Linked DNA regions of Mus musculus: region 2 is reported to be linked to region 1. Evidence: microRNA targets listed by miRTarBase, many of them from high-throughput screens and not tested one by one. Region 1 holds a microRNA gene; the other region holds the end of a gene's coding sequence.
The links. Region 1 holds the annotated microRNA mmu-miR-3100-3p (CUGUGACACACCCGCUCCCAG, at 1,431-1,451, shown strand). A microRNA usually pairs through its seed, bases 2 to 8, with sites in the 3' UTR of a target mRNA and lowers its output. Matches are read on the target gene's strand: a 7mer-m8 pairs with bases 2 to 8, a 7mer-A1 pairs with bases 2 to 7 and ends in A, and an 8mer does both.

Region 2: the mRNA of Ncan is a reported target of mmu-miR-3100-3p. Seed matches in the 3' UTR shown: 7mer-m8 at 2,994-3,000.

Annotation. Positions count from the first base shown.
Region 1 is chr7:19,085,442-19,089,957 of GRCm38, forward strand. It overlaps Mir3100 (microRNA 3100), which reads left to right and starts at 1,387; the gene lies at 1,387-1,451. It overlaps Dmpk (dystrophia myotonica-protein kinase), which reads left to right. Exons shown (of 15, transcript NM_001379257.1): 2 at 545-636; 3 at 891-974; 4 at 1,048-1,143; 5 at 1,452-1,600; 6 at 1,799-1,892; 7 at 2,053-2,259; 8 at 2,560-2,823; 9 at 3,470-3,555.
Region 2 is chr8:70,092,316-70,096,565 of GRCm38, reverse strand. Ncan (neurocan) reads left to right here. Exons shown (of 15, transcript NM_007789.3): 15 at 116-3,481. The coding sequence ends at 246. Among named protein-coding and RNA genes, the nearest start is that of Mir7066, 8.1 kb to the left of the region's middle.

The DNA of each region.
Region 1 (4,516 bases):
GAACTTCCCTAAGGGAGATCTGACCTCCCTCTGCCCACCCCGCACCCCCAGTCGCCAGCCTCAGACCTAGCTGCTCTCCCCTCTGGCTGAACCACCCTAGCACAGGACCTTATACCCTGGAGCTTTGGTTATAAGAAGACTCTCCTTCACCCTTTGGAAACCAAGAAAGCCCTTCCAACAGTGTCCAGGATGCTGGAGGGCAGTGACCCTCCCCCACTTCTTCTTCGTGCTGGCTGTGCTGACACAGCTCCAGTTCGAGGTTGTGGCCCGAGACATTAAGTGAGAGCCCCGGGTGACCTGACTTAGCACCCTGATCATCACATGGGAGTGAAAGGCCTGATGCGCCAGCTTCTCCCACTGCCTCCCTTTCTGCCCTGCAACCCTGTGGAAACAGGCAGTTCTGGGTCCCACAAACATCACAGAGGTTTTGAAAGCAGAATCCTAAAGCCGATTTAAGGGGCAGAAGGAAGGAGGCTATAAAGTCACTACCCTTACCGCTAGTGTTCTGATGACCCTTGGTTCTTCTTCCCCCACCCCCGCCCAGTGGAGCCCATTGCAGCAAGGCTTAAGGAGGTCCGACTGCAGAGGGATGATTTTGAGATTTTGAAGGTGATCGGGCGTGGGGCGTTCAGCGAGGTGAGTCTTCAGTGGCCTGGGAATGGAACTTTACTTGATGTGGGTGGGGCATAACAGCTGGGGCAGAGCCTTAAAAATTGATGAATGAGCTTGAATTTAAGGCTGGAGGGGTGGGGGCGGAGCTTGTGGTCAGTGGGCGGTGTGCACGTGAGGGCGGGGCTAAGGTTGGGTGGAGATAAGGGTGGAGTCCTGTCTGGGTGAGCCTTGCTGGTTTTCCCTGCCACCTCTTGCTGTCATCTCGGTTCCGTATTTAGGTAGCGGTGGTGAAGATGAAACAGACGGGCCAAGTGTATGCCATGAAGATTATGAATAAGTGGGACATGCTGAAGAGAGGCGAGGTGAGGGCCAGGGATTAGGGCAGCGCCCTCATCTCTCCAACTCACCTCCTGTAGCTTCTCTCCTACCTCACAGGTGTCGTGCTTCCGGGAAGAAAGGGATGTATTAGTGAAAGGGGACCGGCGCTGGATCACACAGCTGCACTTTGCCTTCCAGGATGAGAACTACCTGGTAAGCTCCGGGTTCAGGTGACTAGGAAAGAGTGACAGTTACATCGCCCCAAGTCAAGAAGGCTGGAGAAGGGAGAAGCTGCTGTAGATCGGGGGGGTGGGGGTGGGGGGGACACACACAGGGGATGGGGGACGGGGGTAGGATTGTGTCTCAAGTATAGGAGAGACCTTCCTTGAGACAGGAGTGATATCTGGTTTGGCCTTTGGATGGGGCGCTCTCTCACTGTGCGGGGGTCCTCTGTGCTTGGGAACGGGGTGTCTTTGGGAGTCTTGGGGGCTACCAAACCCCTGTGACACACCCGCTCCCAGTACCTGGTCATGGAATACTACGTGGGCGGGGACCTGCTAACGCTGCTGAGCAAGTTTGGGGAGCGGATCCCCGCCGAGATGGCTCGCTTCTACCTGGCCGAGATTGTCATGGCCATAGACTCCGTGCACCGGCTGGGCTACGTGCACAGGTGGGCGTGGCGGGGCCCTTGGAGGGTTAGCAGAATTTGTGTGGGAAGGAAGGGTACCTGAAGGTCAGATCCCATTGGGGACAGAATCGGGGTCTAGAATTGTAGAATCCTGGGTGGGGTGGAAGTGGATCGAGCTGACGGGCCCTAAGAGGGAAGGTTTTCAAGAAAGCACACTTTCCCTCTTCTCTCTATGCACAGGGACATCAAACCAGATAACATTCTGCTGGACCGATGTGGGCACATTCGCCTGGCAGACTTCGGCTCCTGCCTCAAACTGCAGCCTGATGGAATGGTAAGAAGAGCCTGGCGAAACTCTCCTCATTGGTGAAGGACCGGATTAGGGGGCGGGGCTGGGTTGAGGAGCAGGAGGGGAGCTTGGTCTGGGATGTCCTGCGCACCATATTTGGACAGTCAAGGGAAAGGTTTTAAGCATTCAGGTCTGATTGGCACAGGTGAGGTCGCTGGTGGCTGTGGGCACCCCGGACTACCTGTCTCCTGAGATTCTGCAGGCCGTTGGTGGAGGGCCTGGGGCAGGCAGCTACGGGCCAGAGTGTGACTGGTGGGCACTGGGCGTGTTCGCCTATGAGATGTTCTATGGGCAGACCCCCTTCTACGCGGACTCCACAGCCGAGACATATGCCAAGATTGTGCACTACAGGGTGAGCACAAGCACCATGCAGGGGGGCTGACTTAGTGGCTTGTGCTCCCAGACTGTCTTTTTTAAAAGATATTTATTTATATGTGTGTGTTTTCTGTGTATGTATATCTGTGCACTGAGTAGGTGTGCGAAGGTCAGAGGGCATGGGATCCCCTGGAACTGGAGTCACAGACTATTGTGTGCTGCCATGCTGAGTGCTGGGAAACAGAACCTTGATCACTCTGCAAGAGCAGCCAGTGCACTGAAACGACAGAGCCAGCTCTGCAGCCCAGGGCTAACTGTTGCTTTTCTTTCTAAATAGGAACACTTGTCGCTGCCGCTGGCAGACACAGTTGTCCCCGAGGAAGCTCAGGACCTCATTCGTGGGCTGCTGTGTCCTGCTGAGATAAGGCTAGGTCGAGGTGGGGCAGGTGATTTCCAGAAACATCCTTTCTTCTTTGGCCTTGATTGGGAGGGTCTCCGAGACAGTGTACCCCCCTTTACACCAGACTTCGAGGGTGCCACGGACACATGCAATTTCGATGTGGTGGAGGACCGGCTCACTGCCATGGTGAGCGGGGGCGGGGTACGTACCTGCAGTTCCTGATCCGTTGAGGGGACTTCCCTAGCCTCTTCCATAAAATTGGGGTGATTGGCCAGGTGTGGTGGTGCATACCTTTAATCGTAGAACTTCATAGGCAGAGGCAGGTGGCTCTCTGGTAAATCAAGGCCATCTTGGTCTACATAGTGACTTCTAGGCCAGTCAGGAGTGAGATCCTCCCTTGAAAAATAAAAAAGGGGGTGTTGACCTTCCTGGGTCCCAAATTATTATCCTAGAGCACTGCTATGTATCCACTCAGGTATGAGGACACACAGGTGACCAGTCCCAAAGACAGTGAGTGAGGCCTCACTCTTGGCAGTACTAAAATTGATTGTAGGGGGCTGGGCTCTTGACCCAGCCTGGAAAGTGCTGGAGGGCTTCCTGGAGGAGGAGACTAGCTGAGCCCAGAAGGATGCAGGAGATCCTTTCTCGGGTGAGTGCTCTCAGCATTTTAACAAGCTCTAGGCCCTGCAGAGAGAAGTCTGGTGTGGGCAGAGCCCCAATAGAAAGCAACAAGATAGAAGAGAAAATGGTGGAGTTTGTTAGTGGGGGCAGTTATGCCGTGAACATAGAGGGGCGAAGGGCCATCTCGGATAACTGCTAGCCACAAGAGCCCTGTCTGTCTTCCTAGGAGACGCTGTCAGACATGCAGGAAGACATGCCCCTTGGGGTGCGCCTGCCCTTCGTGGGCTACTCCTACTGCTGCATGGCCTTCAGGTGAGCACGACTGCCCCCTGCTGGGGCCTGTGTGCAGGCCCACCACAGCCACTCAATTGAAGGCTCAGTCTTCAAACCAAGTATTCCTAGGAGCTGTCTAAGTTAGGCTTTCTGCTGCTGCGATGAACCCTGACTAAAAGCAAGCTGGGGAGGAAAAGGCTTATCGGGCTTACGTTTCCACATGGGAGCCCATCACTGAAGGAAGCCAGGACAGGAACTCACAGCGGGGCAGGAACGTGGAGCTGATGCAGAGGCAATGGAGGGGAGCTGCTTACTGACTTGATCCTTATGTCTTCCTCAGCCTGTTTCCTTGTAGAGCCCAGGACCACCAGGCCAGTGAGGGCTCCACTCACAATGGGCTGAGCTCTCATCTATGATCACTAGTTATGAAAATGCCCGATAGGCTTGCCTGCAGCTTCAGTTTTTGAGGCACTTTCCTTCCTTCCTTCCTTCCTTCCTTCCTTCCTTCCTTCCTTTCTTTCTTTCTTTCTTTCTTTCTTTCTTTCTTTCTTTCTTTCTTTCTTTCTTTCTTTCTTAGTCTTTTAGAGACAGGGTCTTTCTATGTAGCTCTGGCTGTCTTGGAATTCATTCTGTAGACCAGGCTGGTCTTATTTATTTATTTTATGTATGTGAGTCCACTATCACTGTCCTCAGACACACCAGAAGAGGGCATCAGATCCCATTACAGATGGCTGTGAGCCACCATGTGGTTGCTGGGAATTGAACTCAGGACCTCTGGAAGAGCAGCCAGTGCTCCTGCCCTGTAGAGGCATTTTCTTCATGAAGGCTGTCTCCTCTCTGATGACTTGATGACTCTAGCTTGTTGTGTCAAGTGGACATAAGACTAGGAAAGCAGCTACACATGCACTTTGTTTATTTTTGTTTTGCTTTTTGAGACTGGGTCTCTCCATCTCATAGCTCTGGCCATCCTGCCTGGTGACATTCCAGTCCAGTTGTATAA
Region 2 (4,250 bases), not on the chromosome of region 1:
TCTGCTTCCCAAGGTCACCTGTCTTCCTAGTGTTTTTCTCTTTGCATCCCTCTGAGGAGGCCAGTGGCATCCAGCCAGCCATCTTCACCCCTTCTCATCTCTCCCATCCCTGCAGCCAGGCGGTCACATCGGATGCGTAGACACCACCACCATCCACACCGACATCACAAGCCTCGCAAGGAGCACAGAAAACACAAGAGACACCCAGCGGAAGACTGGGAGAAAGACGAAGGGGATTTCTGCTAAAGATCCAGGCTAATCAAGCACAAGCCCCCACACCTTCTCCAGAGTGTTTCCTTGGGGACCCAGAACCCAGCATCCACCAGAGAGGGTGGGGACACTGCAGAGCCCCACACCCCTGCGGTAGGTCCTCTGTTACTGAGGTCCTCCTGGAAGGGGTGGCTGAGCCTGAGAGGCCATGCTGGTCTGGCTGAGCCTCTAGGTCACTTCCCAGCCATTAAAGGGGGTCCTGAAGTCTGCATCCACAAGGGGCAACAGTATGTCTGTGTGTGCTGGGGAGTGGCTTTCGCACCAGAGATTCAGGCTTAGGAAACAGTGGACCATCCTGAATCTATGGTGAAGGTTTGGCTAAAGTCACTGTATCTGAGTGGAGGACCAGCAGAGCAAACATGATGGCCTGCCATCTCCTGGGATCCCCCAAGGGTGACTTCCACTCCTCTGGTTTTCTTTTTTTTTCCCCTTTCTTCTTCCTCCCTCCCAATTCCAACACCTCCAACCCCCAAACTAGGCTGGCCTCGAACTCACTATTGTAGAAAGATGTCCTTGAAGTCTCAATCCTCCTGCCTCTGCACCACCATGCCTACCTGGTTTATTTGGTGCTGGACATGGCACCTAGTACTGAGCAGGGCTCTCTCTGCTAACCAGCCCTAGTCTTTGGTCTTGGTTCAGACCACTAAATCTAGTGTGGAACTCTTATATACTGATTTTAGTGATGTCTCTTAGAGCCACTGGCCTCCTTGGCTTCCTAGGGGAGGTTACTCCGAGCGATGGGGGTGGGGAGGGCTAGTGTCTTGCTGACTCCCCAGGTCTAGTGCAGTGCTAAGATCTGGTGGTTCTGTTTTGGGTTGTTTTTGTTTTGAGACAGGGCCTCACTGTGCGGCCCTGGCTGGCCTGGAACTTGCTATATAGACCAGGCTAACCTGGAACTCAGCGAACTGTCTGCCCAGCCTTCTTTGGTTTTATTGACGTAAGATCTCCAGAGCCTAGGCTGGGTTTCAGGCCACAGCAATCATCCTTTCTCAACCACCTGAAGGTGACAGGCATACGCCGTCGTGTGTGGCAGTTTCGTGGCTTTGTGATGAAAAATCTCCCACACCCGTGTGCACAGAAGTGAGATCAGTGGAGTACAATGTGCTGGATGCTGCTGTATCCTCCCCCTCCATCTCTCAGGGAGACAGACAACCTTCTGCCTGAACCAAGATGGTGCCATGTTTTCTAACCCAGAGCCTGTCTTTTTAGCAGACCTCAATAAATCTCCTGCCTCAGATTCCATCCCTGCCCCACCCCACTTCTGTTTCCACATCCTGCCTGATGGACTTTATGCTTACAGTGTTCATGGTCCTATGGTAGAAAGAAGAATTCTCTTAGAATTAACACACACACATACACACACACACATGCATGTACACACACTAACACACCTTCTCGCCTGGTTTTACATTTTTCTTTTTCTTTTCCTTTTCCCCGTTTCCTTTTCTTTTTTCTTTTTTTTTTTTTTTTTTTTTTTTTTGAAACAGGGTTTCTCTGTGTAGCCCTGGCTGTCCTGGAACTCACTTTGTAGACCAGGCTAGCCTCGCACTCAGAAATCTGCCTGCCGCTGCCTCCCAAGAGCTGGGATTAAAGGTGTGCGCCACCACGCCCGGTTCTACATTTTTCAAAATGTGAAATAATCCACTTTGGATTCCCTCTTCCCATCTACACTCCAGAAAAGACTTCCCAAGCCAGGGACAGGGTCCCTCACAGAGCCCATGCAGTGTGGGTAGAATCTATGAATTTGTGTTAAAGCCACAGTGGAGCCTGAGCTTAGCCCTGTGGGTAAAGATGCTGCATAAGCCTGAAGAAGTCCGTTTAAGCCCTGGGACCCATGTTTTAAAAGTGAAAAGCCAGGTAGGGTGTGAACCCTGGTGCCAGCATCCCTGTGCTGAGACTATAGGAAGCTCATGAGCCAGCTAGCCTGGAGGATCACGGCAAACCCTTAAAGGGTAGCATTTGACCTCCACTGCACACTACAATGTGGGTGATTCTCCAACACACGCACAACCCTCTCCCCCCACACACACTGCACAAGCACAAAATAAATAAGTAAAAATTTCAAAAACTGTAGGATTGGGTGGGTCAGGGCAGGGATGGGTGCACAGGTTCTGGGGTCCATGCCCAGCTCTTCCTAAGTGTTTACTGAGCTGCATTGCTCACAGGAGGTAATGAAAGCCTGGGGCAGTTACTGAATAGAAGCCGTGTAAAGCCTTGTGAGATGCCCTTGAATCCTCTCAGCAGCCCACGTGGTCCTTAGTCTCCCATTTCCACTTGATTGTAAGAGAAAGACAAAGTTACAGACTACGATAGAGGAGCTAGAGCAAGAATTTCCTTCTGTGCGTTATAATTACTGTAAGTGTTGATTTTTTGGACAGGGCCTCAGTCTGGCCTTGAATTCACTCAGTAGCTGAGGATAACCTTAAAGTCCTGATCCTTCTGCCTCAGTTTCCCAAGTACTAAAACGGCAGGTATGCACTATGACTGGTGTATACAATGCTAGGGATGGAACCCAGAGATTTGTGCATACTAAGTAAATGTTCTACACCTGAGCTCCAAGTACTCTGTCAACTGAGCTCCAAGCACTCTGTCAACTGAGCTCCAAGCACTCTTATCTGTGCTTCGAACGCTACCAACTTAGTTCGATTCGCAAACCCTGGTCTTGATTTGTGCTCCAAATTTTGCTTTATGTTTAAGGGAAGAGACCTAAAATCCTTACCTGCTGTCACACACACACACACACACACACACACACACACACACACACACACACACACGAGCAGACTTGGGAAATGGTTGAGAAAAGCAAACTGGACCCTGATCCGTAAAGGTCCCTGTGACTGGGGACAAAGCTTCTTGGTAACATTTTCTAATTCAGAAGGAACCACACCAATCCCCTGCTGGGGATTGAGGGCGAGGCCTGCTGGGGCTCAGAGGTTCTTCCTAGCCCCTGAACTGCCTGCTCCATGGAGGGGCATGCTTTAGGCTTTTCTGGACTGGAGCCTCATCTCCAGCTTTCCCCCTCCCTGGTGTGTCTGCTTGGGCCAGTATGCGGGAGGAGTGTGTATGTGCGAGAATGGCTACAGGTTCTGCTGGGTTTTGTTTTGTTTTTGTTTTTCTGGGAGCTTTGATGTTCCGTGGATCTGTGCTATCTGACACTGTGGATGTTAATGGACTTATTGGACATTTTAATAAAAATTTTTTAACAGTTCAACTTGCCTGTGGCCCCCTCACCCGCCCCTCACCCGCTCACTTGCCTGCTCGTTTACTGAGAGCCTGCATTTCTTTGGAGTGATGACTCACATAGCCCAGACAGGCCCAGAATTCCCTACGCATCTGAGAAGGATCTTGAACTGATCAGTTTCCCATTTGTTTTGTTTTTGAGACAGGGTGTCTCTTTCGACCAGGCTTGCCTGAAACTCTGTGATCTATATGCCTCTGCCTATCCACTGCTGGTTTGTTTTATGGGGTGCTGGGAACTTTACGAATGCTAGGAGAGCGCTTTGTGAACTGAGATACAAACACTCCACTAAGTGAGCCACAGCCATGGGCCCTGAGCCCTTATTAGGAGCCACACACTGTGCCCGGTCAGAGGGAAAGTAGGGTACCGCAGGAGAAATAGAAGGTATCTTTTCTCTTTCTTTCTCTTTCTTTCTCTCTCTTTCTTTCTTCCTTCCTTCCTTTCTTTCTTTCTTTCTTTCTTTCTTTCTTTCTTTCTTTCTTTCTTTCTTTCTTTCTTTCTTTCTTTTTCTCTCTCTCTCCCTCCTCCCCTCTCTCTTTCTCCCTCCCTCCCCCTCCCTCCCTCCCTTCCTTCCTTCCTTCCTTCCTTCCTTCCTTCCTTCCTTCCTTCCTTCCTTCCTTCCTTCCTTTCTTCCTTTTCCTCCAGATAAGAAACAGAGCAGCATCGTACATGCCTCCTCCCAGTGCTGCAGAGGTGGAGGTAGGAGGGCTAGCCTGGGCAACAAACAAACGAACGCAGG